Oreochromis niloticus: one gene and its partner. The protein of the gene in region 1 purifies or fractionates together with the protein of each later gene. This does not show direct contact. Links are inferred from orthologs where the notes say so. Each region holds a gene or a part of one and is shown on either strand. Other genes may lie near its edges.

Evidence for each region.
Region 2: the proteins of sorbs3 (region 1) and dlg5a purify together in Homo sapiens (co-immunoprecipitation; 3 studies listed by BioGRID and IntAct, with this or other methods). This does not show direct contact. The link is inferred for Oreochromis niloticus from reciprocal best matches to the Homo sapiens genes SORBS3 and DLG5.

The regions. Positions count from the first base shown.
Region 1 is NC_031977.2:13,314,335-13,321,601, reverse strand, and holds the start of sorbs3 (vinexin), read right to left. Parts: upstream 3,245-7,267; 5' UTR 3,063-3,244; intron 3,031-3,062; exon of another isoform or gene 3,012-3,030; intron 690-3,011; exon of another isoform or gene 588-689; intron 1-587. Other genes in the region: E3 ubiquitin-protein ligase NEURL3-like, read right to left, coding at 6,919-7,267. UniProt on the Homo sapiens protein: Vinexin alpha isoform promotes up-regulation of actin stress fiber formation. Vinexin beta isoform plays a role in cell spreading and enhances the activation of JNK/SAPK in response to EGF stimulation by using its third SH3 domain.
Region 2 is NC_031978.2:16,464,888-16,473,053, reverse strand, and holds the start of dlg5a (disks large homolog 5a), read left to right. Parts: upstream 1-5,083; 5' UTR 5,084-5,531; coding exon 5,532-5,835; intron 5,836-8,166. Other genes in the region: anxa11a (annexin A11a), read left to right, coding at 524-582, 675-797, 889-948. UniProt on the Homo sapiens protein: Acts as a regulator of the Hippo signaling pathway.

The DNA of each region.
Region 1 (7,267 bases):
AGCTAGACCCTCAGTAATATCACAAAGGGAGTCAAAGCCAACTGTGGAAATTACCCCGACAGTGAGGAGGGCCTCCGGTGATGCCTGGACGGTCCTGGGGCCATTAGGCCTGATATCTGCTGCAAGATGGGAAAGTAATCCTGACAGAACTAATTATTTCCTCTCAGCTCACCTGACAGTTGCCAGTGTACACTTACCCACTGGGCAAAGCAACAAGGGATGACATGTTGGGAAACACTATCCCCAATGCCAGGTCTCTCTCTCTCTCTTTCTTACTCTCACTCTCTCCCTCAGTGCTCCAGCTGTGACTCCAGCTGCTCTCATCTCCACTTGCTCAGACGCAAGTGGAGCACACTCCTGTTGTCCGTTTCAACACTAACTACATGAGTTAACTTGCTTTAAGACACTGTAAACCGCAGCATTAATCCTGTAGAGCAGCATGTAATCCCTGAGCAGTCAGACAGGTTACTCAACCTTAAACAAAACACAGTTTTAAAACTTACACATGTTTCCAGACAGCCACAATGCTTAAGGTCAATCCCTGCTATTGGTTTTTATATATTTGTGCTCCCATTTGGTGTACTTACCCACTCACACCTCTTTCTGTCTGCATGAGCTGTGCATGAAAACCACACTTGCAGACCTTCCCTCCACTTTCTCTGACTCATGAAACTAGCCAGGACACACAATCTCTCTCTCTCTCTCTCTCTCTCTCTCTCTTCTTCTCTTTTCCAGTCCTCTCTCTCCCTGCTTCCGCGGAAGACTTCTCCGGTTGACAGGCATTGCCATAGCAACCCATTTTAACCCCCCCATATTCAAGAAGTGCCCCCCTCGTACTTGACTTGTCAGTTTGGGGCACCTCCTTCAGTGAAGCAGCTCTATTGTTGTCATAAGGTGATATTTCACTGCACAGGGTTAACCAAAGGAGAACCAAAATAGTTCATCACCTCCACCTCCCAGACACTACCCAGTGACTCCATCATGTCCCCTCCTAACTTTATCTATCCCATGCCTTCCTCTCCTTTTGTGTGTCTGTGTGTGTGTCTTACATGAATGTGTGTGTGTACACAGTCCAGGTCTTTGGCTAGCCAAAGGCATGAAGGGAGAATAAGAGCTCTTTCTGTTCCTGTAGCTCTGGAAGTGTTTCAGAGTCATTACTCTACGCCACATAGGCAACCACTGACAGCACAAGTCCTGCTGACTTTTCTCCCATGATCGCACACAATAGCAATACTTTTTTGGATGTGAAGATAAAAATGAAACAACAAGAGACTGAAATATGTTTTGCCCTTTTAAAGGCAAATTAGAAGGAGATCAGTCAAACAGGAACAAACACATTCTTAAATCCTGCTGTCTTACACACACACACACACACACACACACACAGTTCTTGCCCAAATGAAACCAGGATTTCCAGTTTGCCCACAGTTCTTGCCAAAAAAGACAAACGGTGTAAAACCTGAAATCCAGTGTGCTGACAGGCTTGCTTTGGCACATATTATGCAGCAGGAAGACTGATTTACAATGTCTGTGTTGCAGGTGAGTGATCCGATCACCTGCTGACAGATGCAATCCCTCCTTTTACATCCATGTTTTATTCCAGCAATAAACTGAAAGCCAGCAGGACAAAGAAGGAAATTTATCAGGGCCTACTCAACGGTCTGCCCATTTGTTTAAAAGTGTATGTTTTTGTGCATGTGCTCGCCAGTTTCAACTTGAAATCGAAGCACTCAGCTCTTTCAATAATTCAGCGGTCTGGCTTGGTACACCAAAGCTCAGCGCAGATATCCACTTACTGAGCTTGTACGCTTCACAGGATTGTTTTCGCCAACCAGTTGAGCTGCTGAACCTAAACGGACAGTGCAGGGCGATCTAGAGGAGCCTTCCTTCATAATCTGTGTCCTGCTGGCACAGACTTTAACCCTGCTGTGACCAAATCTGGTACTTTGTCACTCTGCGCCTAAATGAGGTAATCACGTAAGAGGCAATAGCAGGTTTGGCGCGGTGGTGCTCAGCACGTCTCTGTATTAAAAACCTTGCTCAATTTGTCTTACTCTCTTATTGCCACGCAAACATGAAGGTTTACTCATTGTCAGCTCCAGTTTTTGTTTTTGTCTTTTGTTTTATTTTGGGGTTTTTAACCAGATAATCACGATAGGAAGGAACACAGATGATCTTGTACTTCAGCCCTTCATTGTTACTGATAGATTCAAGCAGACCTTTACCACACAAGCTAATTAAAACAATGACAGCTAAAGATCTCAGGAGGTCAATCATCTAAAAACCTTAAAATACTTGGTGGCTATGGCCCAAGCCTTTTTTTAAAGCATCAGCTTCTCCGTCTTCTGAGGAGACAGGAGACAGCAGATACTGTTGTAATCAAATGAAAGATGTAAAGATAGATAAGTCAAAAGCGTAGAAAAACATTGCCATCATGATAGACGACTGATAAGGAACGACGGCCATACAACAGGTTATGCGCTGAGGTAGCCCATGTGGAATGTCACTGAGAACAAACAAAAATGCATCAGAGTTTATTTTAGCAGTAAACAACATTTTTTTCTGAGCTGTACATGTCCCAGGACTCTGGTTCACACTCTAAACATGTCTTGTATAGAAATAAATCCTTGCAGGTTTTAATGCCTGTTTCCAAAAGAGCGATAGAGTGCACTTCTAGGATGAAAACACTGAAATATCCCCACATGTAAAGCCACCATGGGAGTCGGTGTGTGGATAAAGGTCAGATGATAACCATCTTTTGAACCACAGACAGCTGCTTAAGGTCACTTAAACAAATTCTGAAAATAAACCCACAGCAGTAACAGACCAGTGACTTAAAAAAAATAATGCCTTATGTTGTTTGTCAATGCCAGTGATGAACTGAGTAGTGACGAGAAGAAGCAAATATCACATCTGTGCTACAGTCTCACACGAAAATTGAAGTCAAAACTGAAAGAGGCTAGAAAAACATAAGTCTTCTTTCTGAGCGTTTAAATCCCAGTAGCTCTAACCTTTGCGTTAGTCACTGTGAGAAGCCGAGGCACAAGTTGTACAGTACTTACAGGCTGTAGAGTGCAGGCTGAGCGGTGAAGTCTCTGCAGCACACAAGGAGAGAGAGGAAGTGAATGAAAAAAAAGGAGGGCACTACTGCTGCTGCTTTTTCTCTCGAACTCTCCCTCCCTCTTTCTCTTTGTAAAGCCAACAGGGTGTCTTTTATCTTCTGTGAATGATTCAGCCTGAGTCTGAATGTTTGACTGGGTGTCCATAGGCGTGCGCATGTAATATGTGTGTGTGTGTGTGTTTCTTGTGTTTGTGTGAGCATGCTCTTTAAAGCTCATCAGGGAAAAAGGGGCTTGGTAATAGTTTCCATCCACAGCTGGAAATAATAGAAATTCCCATAGAGGCGCAGCAGAACCACCTTCCGGTGTTTGACAGCACATGCCAAAAAAGATGATTTCTATAGCAATCTCAATAAATAGGCCTTAGTGTTATAATCCTGTTGGTCTATTCACACTCTTAAGCCTTTAGTGTGTGTCACATTCATATCAATCAAAAAAAAAGGAAAAAGGAGAGTCTTTAGCACTTTCTATGACATCCAGATAGCAGACAGGATCCAGGAAAGTATATTTCTTTTTTTCTTTTACATGAACTCATATCCGCTAACAACCCCAAATATGCAAACACTTGCCCCAGACTAGGACACAAAGGCTAATCCCAAAATAAGTGTCACTTTTTCCATCCTCTGTATCAGGCCCTATGCAGCCACCCAGTATGAGAAAACCTTTGTATTCAAGCTGTAGTCTTGTAAAATCCACAGTGTAATCATGAAGATCGGCTGCATTTCTGGACAAATGTTAAGCTTCTGTTAAGTTCTTGAGGGTTTTATCTGTTAGATTCTTTCACCCTGAGTCCAGAAGCAGCGCAGCCCTGCCATCCAAGATAAATATTTAACAGTCTGGCTGTGAGACCAGGAATCAAAGGTCGCACCTCTGTGAGTCTGCCGCTGTGTTAGAGACAAAAGACAACCATGTTACCAAACAGCTCAACAGGGACCGTTATTTATTCTTCTTGAACCAAGTTTCCAGATGAGCAATCCATTATTCACAGAGGAAAAACTCATTTTTGATTAATAAAGGTCATCTCTGGAACACCAGACACACAAGTACAAGTTTGCAAGCTATTTTTTCCATCAGTGGTCAAATGATGTATGCCCTCTTCTCTGTTGGATCCTCTTTGCAGTCCAAAAAGCAACACCCCAACATATCCTCCAATTTCACTCTGACAGACTTTGCATTGGAAAGCACCTTAACATGAAAGATAGTACCACACCGTCCCTCTGTGGCTCTGAGGGGAACTGTTGGGTCTATTACAGGATTTGTCATATGATATCAGGTTGCACAGACAGATGTCGCCAGAGACAAGGAGCTGTAGTAATTTAGGCAGTCCTATGTATTCCCTCCAATTTAAACACCTGCAAACCTCCACTTCAAACAGTAGGCAGGTTAAATATTTAATAATAAAAATGTTGTTTCATCATAACATGTATTTTCCTCCAGTTATAAAATATGCTGAGACATATAAATTAACTTGCAAATCTTATATATTGATATGTATTCGTTTCAATGACTAATTAGACACCTTTAGTATGTCTAATAATGTGATCAATGATGCATTGTTATTTCCCAGCTAGCGTTTGTTTGATGTTTTTTACTTACTCAGTTTTTAGCATTTACACAGATGAAGTGTATAATATTTAAGTCTTTTCACAGTGCATTAGTATTTTTTACTTAAGCTTAATATTCAAATTAATGCTTTGATCTCTTAAAATAAATGAAATCATACCTTATTACTAAAACTATTTATGTTGTTCTCCACCTTTTGCTTAACCAGACCAGAGTCTGGTACTGCAGGATTAACCTGAGTGTCCCAATCCTGGACCGTTTTTTTAACCATGAGGATCGCAGGCTTGATTTTCGGCTAAGCAGGGAGTCTATGGCAGTGTTGCTAAATCTCATGAACCCGGATCGGCAGCATGGTTGGGGTGCAACAACTGAGACCCTGGTGTTTCTTTTCTGGTTGGCAAGAGGAGCATCCTACAGGTGGTCTCAAGAGTGTTTGGGATGCCTCATTCTACAGTCCACTACATTGTTCATAGACTCACAGAGGGGGTGGTGGCCATTAGCCACTAGATCATGCTGCTCCCAAAGACCCTCAAGGACCTGGAGGTATTGTCCTGTGGGTTTGCAGGGCTGGCACGCCATAGAGCCTTTCTGAGAGCGGTGGGGGCAATCGACGGCTGCCACATCCGCTTCAAGTCTCCAAGCGGCCCTGATGGTCAATGCTACAGAAACAGGAAACTATTCCCATCATTCATCTTGCAGGCAGTTTGTGACCATCAGGGCCGCTTCAATGACACGTACGTGGGCTGGCCTGGGTCGGCAACACAGTGTGTTCTTACCTGAACTCCTGCTTTGATTTTTCTCTTAATGTCCCTATAATCAGTAAATACCTGATTGTAGAGACATTTTTAATCAAACATGGTCTCGACAGGTTTCCTTTTATCACAGTCCATTTAATTTCACTGTAATTTACAGTAAGTTTCATAAAAACACATACAGCTAAATAACAGAAAAGAGCTTATTATGACATATTACACATTAATTATACTGGCATAGTTGAATTTTTTATTTTAAAAAATCCAACATTGCTTTACAATTTACAATAACAATGAAAAATGAACCATACAGCACATTTTGCATTAAGTGTTTAAGTCATACAATGACTTAAAAATTACAAAAATACATTTTGTTTATAAAACAAAAAGAGATGTACTATTTCAATCATTTCAATTTAGAAATATTTCAGTTCAGTGTCTGTACATCAACCTTTTTGTAAAGTTTCTTTCTTCCTCTTCTGCTTCTTCTGGTTGTTCCCTTTCAGGGTCGGCACAGTGGATCATCCTATCATCCTTTTCTGTCTTGCTTTCTTCCTCCTGTCTAACAGCTCCATCTTCAACATCCTTTGTCCAGTTTATTCACTATCACTCTTCTGCATACGTGCAAACCATCTTAGCCTTGCTTTTTTAACTTTGTCTCCAAACCGCTCAATCTGAGCTGTCCTCTAAATGTACTCATTTCTAGTCCTGTCCCGTATGGTCACTAACAGAGACATTCTTAGCATCTTCAAAACTGCCAACACTTGGCCTCCTGTCTGTTTGTCAGTGCCACCATCTCCACACCATACATCCCAGCAGAACATCACTACCATCTTGTAAACGTTCCCTTTCACTCTTGCTGCTATTCTTCTGTCACAATTCCGGGCTGTTGTCTCAGAGATCAGCTGACCTCTATAAACCACCTCTCCACCACTGATGAAGCTCTGATCGTGTGTCGACACAGCGGACAGGTACCAAACTGCTCACAGACTCTGAAGTTGCAGTCTTTACATAAACATCGGTGACCACAAGGCAGTGTGATTCTGGCCTCTTTCACCATGCACACCACACAGATTTTATCTGTGGTAAAAAGAGAGAGATCCCAATTACAAATGTGACATCAGGAAATGAGACCACACTATTACAGCTGATTTCACTTTTATCCTCTCTGGTCAGAAATGTGCAACTGAAATTAGCCAATAATGTTTGAAATGACTCTTTACCTTCTGGCATTTTTGTGTCAAGACAGGAGATGCAGTCATCACGTCTGAAGTTTGAAACATCAGGAACTGAACGAAAGTGACTGTAAGCATCAGGTGAGGTGAGCGGTTCAGGTGCAGGACAGGATCTTCTATGGTAAAGCAGCTTTTTGTTTTTCTTGGAGTCTTCAGCAAAGAGAAAGGAGTATTTGAATAGTCATTCAGTCTATGAATGGTCATTCAGACAACATTTATAACTGTCAGAGCATGTGAATTGCTCTGCATTCACAGAACAGGAAAAACATTCTGCAGGTCAAATATAACTGTGGTTCTAGTGAACTTACCCAGGAATAAAATGGAGCGCGTCTGTCCGTAGATGTCTATCATGGCCCACAGTGGCTGTTTCATGTCCACTCCTGTTAGTCGCTCGTACTCCTCGTTGTTGACACCTACGTATATGCTGCCATGAGAAGAAACCCAAAACTCCAGCTCTGAACCTGCTTGACAAACAGATTCATCCAGTGGAACAGCCCAGTGTCCCGGCTTGTCAGTGAGATTGGGGATGGACATGCAGGGCAGAGGTAGAGATCTGGCTGAGGGTGGCACAGTGGTAAAGCCCACACGCAGAGCCCCG
Region 2 (8,166 bases), on another chromosome or scaffold:
CAGGTGGTGGTGGTGGAGTAAATATCGTATTTAATGTCACATTTACTATTTCACAGTAGATTTGAGCCTGAAGTTGATGTTGTTGTGTGGTGTGTTTTCTGTTGTTTTTGTTCTTTCTTTTGTTTTTTGTTTTTTTCCTTTACACATTCTTGCCTCTCTGCAAACCCTTTTCTCAGGGGGGTTGTAATGTACATCCCTATCTACTGAATTTGTTTCACTTTGCCGTCATTGATGTGGATGCATCAGGAATACCGGTCTAATAAGATTGCCATCACTTTTACAGAAAAAAAACATGCCCTGGGTGCACATTTAGACTGACTCATTCAGATACACTGAGATCACTGAAGGAGCTTTAGTGTAACCTTTTTAAGAAGATTTTTGTTGTTGTTGTTGTTGTTGTTTTGTTTCCATTTCCCAGATGTCATTTTGTGGTGTTTTAGAGAAATAAATGGGATACTGCTTGTGTACAGTTAATAATATATTGTTGTTGTCTTGGTAATGACTTGGTTTTTGTCTGTTTTAGTGAAGTGCATTAAAAACACACCTGCATATTTTGCTGAAAGACTCTACAAAGCCATGAAGGTGAGACAGTCTGTTCTGTGTCTGTGCATTACTAAATAGATGTAGCATCATATTCATATTATTTTTGTGTGTGTGTTATTGTTTGTGTGCAGGGAGCTGGGACAAAAGACAAAACTCTGATCCGGATCATGGTCTCCCGTTCCGAGGTTGACATGCTGGACATTCGCCAGGAGTATGTGAAAAATTACGGCAAGTCTCTGTACACTGCGATCTCTGTAAGTATCTACTATAATACAAAAGCACTGTATCCAATAAAATCTGTTTTTAAGAGATGGATGTTTAATTTTCTTGGGCTGTGTTGAACAGGGAGACACATCAGGAGACTACAAGAAACTCCTACTCAAGCTCTGCGGGGGCAGTGACTGAAAAAGGGAGGCTGTCTGTCGACTTCTTTACAGAAGTTTCTTCAAATATAGTCTTTCTGAATCTTTATCTGTATGCACTATACACACACTGCATACTTGCATGCCATGTCAATGCTTTCAATGCAAAATTTACCTAGCTTTAAAAAGCTCATACATATTGTTACCTTTCTATAAACAGTATGTAAAAAATGTTTTATATATTTTTTTGTTTGTACTATATTGGCCGGATATGACAGTACATGGATTTACAAAATGGATTTGTAAGAGTTTACATCGGATCTTGAAGAGATATATATATTTTAAAAAGATTTTTATTGTGCCAATATGATCAGATACTGAATTGTATCTGATGTTTAGCAGCTAGTTAATTTTCAGCAATGCTGATAAAAGTGAGGCATATAATACATAGCAGCTAAGTACCAAAGTAAAAGATAATGCTTGCAATTGTACAATCTCTTCTATATTTTTTCTAGTCTTGAGTTTTGTTTCTAAAAGCTATGTTTGCAGTAGTTTTGTCACATAAAGGTCACTATAGTTCATCATTGAGCATGACGTTTCATAATTAAGGTGCCATTTTCAGGGGATTCAGGAAATAAATACTGAGAATGTACACTGCGATTGTTTTTTTTGTTCATTACACTGAAAACCATAAAACTGCAACAAACTCTATGAAAAGGCTTTAGCCAATGGGCACCCCTCTAGTGTATGTCACATCCCTTTATTAGATCACAAGCGCAAATGGGTTCTGGTGAAAAGGCGTTCTGAATATATGAATATGGCAGTAATGCTTTTGAGAAGAAACCAAGTTTAGTTACATTTTTATTTGTGTCGCATCAGTCGCCTCAAGCAGACAAACCCTTGCACAATACAGACGTCTAAAAAATGTTAATACATAGTGCAGCAGATAACATTACAGAGAAATTGTTCGCAGCCATTTGAAAAAAAAAACAGAAAGATGGTAATTTGGCTGTTGATGAAGGCGAGAAAATGTTTGTTTATTGTTAATAAAAAAAAATTAAGCTTACCTTTTTGAATCAAATCATACATGTTTGATCACCTAAGTCAACTCTGGAAGTCGGAAATTACTCAGATGGTTTTTTGGGGTTTTTTTTTAATATTAATTGCTCAATTTGTTTAACATTCAGAATTTCACTAAATTGCTATTGTCAATGATACTACTTCACTAGTTACTGTATTTTAGGTCAAAAAGTAAAATTTATTGCCAGCCATTCAAACTTTGTGGTCATGCTCAATAACCAAACCTTTGGCTGGACCACTGCGATGCTGTAAGGGTTTGGTAGTAGACTTGGTTTGTCAGCAGAGGGCAGTGATGTCTTTACCTCTAAAAAATACAGCAAGCAAAAATCATAGTCACATCATGGCACTGAATTAATTATCGTGGTCACAGTTTACACATGTACAAACCACCAAACAAGGCTGCTGGTTCTTTCACACTGTATCAGCTAAAAGTCTCACTATCACTGCCATAAAGCAGTGTGAGACTTAAACACACTGTATTTTGCTCAATCAATACAGATAACTGTTCTCTATATGCCTTATTAAGTTCTGTTGGCTTCACTTAAAATGCTGTTCAACACTGTAAAGACATGGCTATGCGCTTGTCTGGCCATAGTAGTGTATGTCTGTGTGTGTTAAGTGCACTACAATCAATAACTCTGTGAAGTGAGAAGGGGGAGGCGGAGCCTGTGGAATTAATGGCATCCATAAAGCTGCCTTGCCCACATTAAACAAGTCTACCATGACTGGGGCTGTCAGATGCATGGGGGACCCTTAGGGAAGAGCCATGCTGGAGGAATCACTTTTGATCACCTCATGTTAAAACTGACTAGAAAAGGCAGAGAAGGTTTGAGGGCTTTAGATGGCTGTTTAGATTACAATGGCTAAAAGTGTAATGAATCCTGAATGCGATTACATCAGTTTTAAAAAGATAATTTAGATGTGATTAGATTAGGGTTTTTTTTAAACAAAGTGTTTCTGGCATGTCTATGCCAACATTGCAGTTCTGATATCATTACAACCATCAGCCTCTCGTCTGTTGCAGGCGTCTAGCTGAAGGCTGTGTAATTCACCGTTAATTAAAAACCACGAATTGCCTAATTTACTGTCTGTTATGACTGATCTAATCACTTGGGAATCCTCTCACAGTGTCTGAGGTATTGTGGGGGAAAAGATGAAATTACATTATGAAAGATAAAACTCTATAAATGACAGTAGCAAACACATACCCTTCTAACATTTCACTACCTCCTCTTTAAATGAGCATTGTGTATTCACTGCTTTGGGAATGCTATCACTCTCATGCATCCATGCAGGAAATTAGTGCGAGAAGTAAGTGTCTAATAAACCAATTGCTTTGTTACTCTCAGCTGAGACAGCGAAGCTGATAATAAAAAAAAAAGAAAAGAAAAAAATCCATGAAAATGATTTGTTGTCTCCATTTGAGACAATTTGACCGGGATCGGTGATGGATATACTTGTTGACAGTCTTTTCAATAAAAGATAAAGCTATTATCTGCTGTGATCTGAGCTGCCTGACATACAATTTGTTTAATAAAATTCAGTAAATTATCAGACAGCCACAAGCACCACCCTTGTAGTCTAAATAATAAACTCATTCATACCCCCAAGATAAAAAGGATCAGGCTGTCTTCTCTATTTAAATGGGATGTCCTCGAAGGTAGGGTACAGACACAATTGTCCAATCTGTGTCAGCACTAGGGACCTGCTTCCCTTTGATATGAATGAATTGTAATTAATTTTTCATCTAAAGGGATAGCACATGGTTGCACAAGCTATGGAGCCAGCATGGCAGATAGACAGAAAGGAGGAGGTGTGGGTTTGGAGGAGATGTCACAATGAGATTCAGTGCATGCATGAATAAGGTCACGGTCTGAGAGGTATGCCCGCAGATGCTTGCCTCTGTGCCAGCAGTCTTTATTCATTTGTAGACTAGAGGCAGAGTGCATCCATCATCATCACACTGCATTTCACAAAGCCTAGTCAAATACACATTTCATTTGTCACAGCATATACGTTCACAAATGGCGTTTTGCCCTCTTCTGCCTAATCCTGCACATATATGTAGTGCGCAGAGTAAAACTGGTTGCAGTGCAGCTTGGTTTTAGAGGCAGGGTGCATAAGCCTGTGGCTTCAGCAGCAGCATTAAGCAAGGGGAAGATAAAAATCCCTATGTTTTTATCACTGCTTTAACATTTTCCCCAAATAAAATTCCTAATGTAGTCAGTGAGGATTACGATGAAGCTCTGCTGATTTGTTGTGTCAGTGTTAAATCCAAAGATTATAATAATGAATTAATATCACCCGGTTTATCAACCAGCCTATTTTTGGCAACGTCTTTTTTTTAGCTCTCAAATTCATCTCATGCACTGTGGTGACATAGGAGATGATTCACACTGAGGAAAGATACATGCTTTAGGTAAAACTAGAAAGAACACCCTCCATCACAAAGCCTTGCATTACGTAAATAAATATTAATTATCATGTAATTAGCAACACACTGTTGTTTTGTCCCGGTTGATAAAGACTGCATCAGTAAAATCTGACTTAGTAGAGTTTAATTTACACTTAATGCAGTAAAAAGTATAACAATGGCTTCAAACAGCAAAATCGTATTAAATCTTATTAAAGAATCAGAATCAGAATTTATTTATTCTTATTGGCAAGTTGGTCCACAGGTTTTTCCACATATTTGTCTTGTTGTCATGATGCAAAAATCCGTGGTACAGAAATAGAATATATGGCATTTACTGTAGATATAACAAATAAATCTCTATATGAATATTAATAATATAAATACTCAAAATAGGAATATATAAATATATACTAAGTAACTACAGTAAATAAGAATACAAAGTAGAACGTTGCTTCCCCCTTTGGGTAGAAGTGCACCATTTGTGGTTCTTTACCGCCATGTCGATATTTTTAATATTATCTCTATATTTTCATTCTGTTCGTTGTGATTTTTTTCCACCTGGGATTTTCGACGTAGTACGGGGATGATGTGTACGCCCATTGAAAAAATGGGCGTGCCGTCGCGTCTTCCCCGCCTCATTTTGCCTTATATGGTCACCGAGCGGACCGTTGATTGACAGCGAGCAGCAGCTGCTGAGTTGCTCAGACATGGCGGAGGATACAGTGTAACTGGGCAGCAGCGGCGGAGTTACGTGAGTTTTCCCAGCAGTTGAGTCAGCAAAAGGCGCATGAAATGATACATAAAAAGAGGAAAATGTGTTCGGTTAAAGCGTACTCTGAAGGGAAGCGAAAAACGACGAGAAGCGCCACACGTTGGTAAGATGGAAAAATGTATCGCTGTTTAGTGCAGTCAACAGCCTTGGGCAACAAATATGGCTTCTTGTGCCTTTTTCAGTATGCTATAAAAATTGTTCTCCCGTGCAACCTAATGCCGTGGTGGCTCCGGCGAAGTTCTGCAAGCCGCTACAAGTTAAGTTCAATAATCGCTCAGTACTTTTGATCGGGAAGGATATTACATCCACTTGGCCGTCTGGGGTTAGCTGGGAAGCTACGGAACTACAGCGGATAGCAATGGAGCCAAAGCACAAAGAGTTGCTAGACCAGTGTCACCAGAACTTATTGGAGTCCATAACAGATGCGGACCGTGTGATCGAGCTGCTGATAGTTTCCGGTACTTTGAGTCAACTCGACAGGTTCGAGCTGGACCAGAACTGTTCGTCCAGCGCCGAGAAAGTCGACCACCTTTTGAAGATGCTGATGAACAAGGAGAGCGACCATTTCCTCGACCTGTGTGTGGCCCTGGAGAAGGCATACCCTGACCTGTATGCTGCTCTGTTCGGGAACAACGGGGGAGGACCTGTGGACCACTCCACCGGTAAGAGCTGAGACTCTCAGTTCTCCTGAACGGGTCTTCACTTGATTCTATAAATGAGTACTACTTACTGTAAGAAGCGACAATCTGGGTGGTCTCTCAGAAGAAAACGTGTGTGTGGATAGCTACACAATACTCGAGCTTGAAGCTTGCTTTGCCATGAGAAAGGTGCACGGGAAGAGGTTGCAGAGGGGGGTTGCAGCAGTGCTCCTTTATGCATGCTATGAAATTTGTAAGAAGAACTAATGGCAATGTGCAAATTTTTGTGCTGTTAAATGTGCAGAATATAAAGCACTGGCCTTGATCTTTAAACTGCAGGCTGGAGATATAATGCACAAGCAAGGAGTAGTACGACCAAGGACTTTTGTCATTGCTCACAGCCATTATGCCCTCTCCGAGTCTCTACTATACAGTCCAATAAAAATCAGTGCAATAGTGTAGAATTAGCTTGAGTGGCTATAGCTTCTGAATATTTTAAGTATTGATATCAGTGTTCTGTTTAAAGAAAGTCAGATCGCCTAATAACCACCACAAATTCTCATGTGTTGTTAGTGGCATGCGATGGCTGTGGTACATTAGATTAATCCGAGTTGTTTCCATGACAACGGGTGTACCACTCACATGTTGGTCTGTACCTTGTAGTGATGTGTGCATGCAGCCTGCCCATGCCTAAATGGATCAGTCTGCATCAGGCCACACTCCTCTTTTTGGGGAGTAAACCACACTTTTATTCTAACAAGGACTGATTTTTTTTTTTTCTCCAGTTGTGCATTAATGCTGCATTTTAATCAGAGTTCATTCATTGCATTCATTTCATTTGGCCTCTGTCCTCACAGCAAGTGCCCTCCACTTCAGTGGTGTGGGTTGTTGTTGCACGGAGACAAAGGGCAACCAAGTGTAAAAGCCTCATCTAGTTTTGCCTGTTTTACTTTGAATGACTGAAGCCAGTGGCTTACAAACAGTGTCATGCCCTGAGGGCCTGAATGCAGGATGAGCCTTGAGATCCAAATCTGGGGAAGAGATGCAGCGCCATGCTTGGCTTTTGATACATTTCACATTAAAACAGCATTGCAGGCAATGTTGCATATAATTTTGAAGCCACCCTGTGTGAAACAGCTACAGCTGTGTCCATAGTTTACGGCTGCCAAGTTGTAGCACGCCTCACTTTACTACCAGCAAGTAGATCTTAGCAGGTAATGCTGATTTGGTCTTGCTGCTCTGCTGACTGGATCACTAATGTTTCCTTAAGCTTTATTACTTCCTTGTATTGACTGTTGCTGCTGCAGAATAACACACCTGCTGACATGCTAAGAAACGCATTCACTGTGTTTCTTTGAGCAGCTGAGAGTCTGGTCTGGTCTGTTTGCCGTTGGCAGTACTTGGCAATCTGGATTTGGGTTTTTCTTCACTCGCTCACCTTTATAGATCATAACACCGGGCCTCAGAGCTGACCTGACTGTATTAGGAGAGTGCGAGCACAAATGGTGAGTCTGGCTTGTCAGCCTGTGGTTATTCAACAAAGGATTAGGGCCTGCTCTCCTCTCTCTGGTGTAAATTCTCTCTGTGAGACGCGCTTTATCGTACTTCTACAGTCCTCTTTATTAGCTGTCACGCTTTTGACTCCCTCTGCTTTGACTCAAGTGTTGTGCTTCTCTTTAATGTGCTGTTTATTATCTTTTAATATAGTAATTCGGATGATGCGATTACCATGTTTTAACCATACTTGCAAGAGACTGAAGACAAGCTGCTCACAGAGCACCTTCAGGCAAAGAATCTGGTAGAAAAAGCACATACGGATGAAATCCTCAAAGCTGCGGTGTATCTGTGAACAACGCAGGGTGTGTGAAAAGAGGGAATATGAGTGTGATGAGTCTTGCTGATAGCAACCTGCTCTCAACTTGTCCTCCTCTCAGGCTGCCTGCCTGCTTTTGTTCTCAGATGTGCCTCCTGTGCCAGCTGAGCCTCTATACACGCACACACATGAAATCATCCAAAGAAGCATCCTCAGCCCAAAGGAAAAACATACAGATGCACGCATAAGTACTGTATTGTTTAAAGCTCGGGCTCTGTAAATTATAAGTATTTCATTGGGAAACTGCAGCATATTTGCTGTAAAGAACATGCAAACACATTCATTATTTAGCCTGTTTTTGCGCATCTGTATGCTGGGGGGACCAAGTCTGGCTTCCTGATTTTTGACAACATTTCTACCTCTCATTAAACGGCAAAGATTCCCTTAGAATATTGAGTATCACTTTCTTTCTTTCTTTATGTTTTGGTCACTTTTTTTTGGCTTTTAAATGAAACTGAATGAATTTCATAAATTCATGCAAT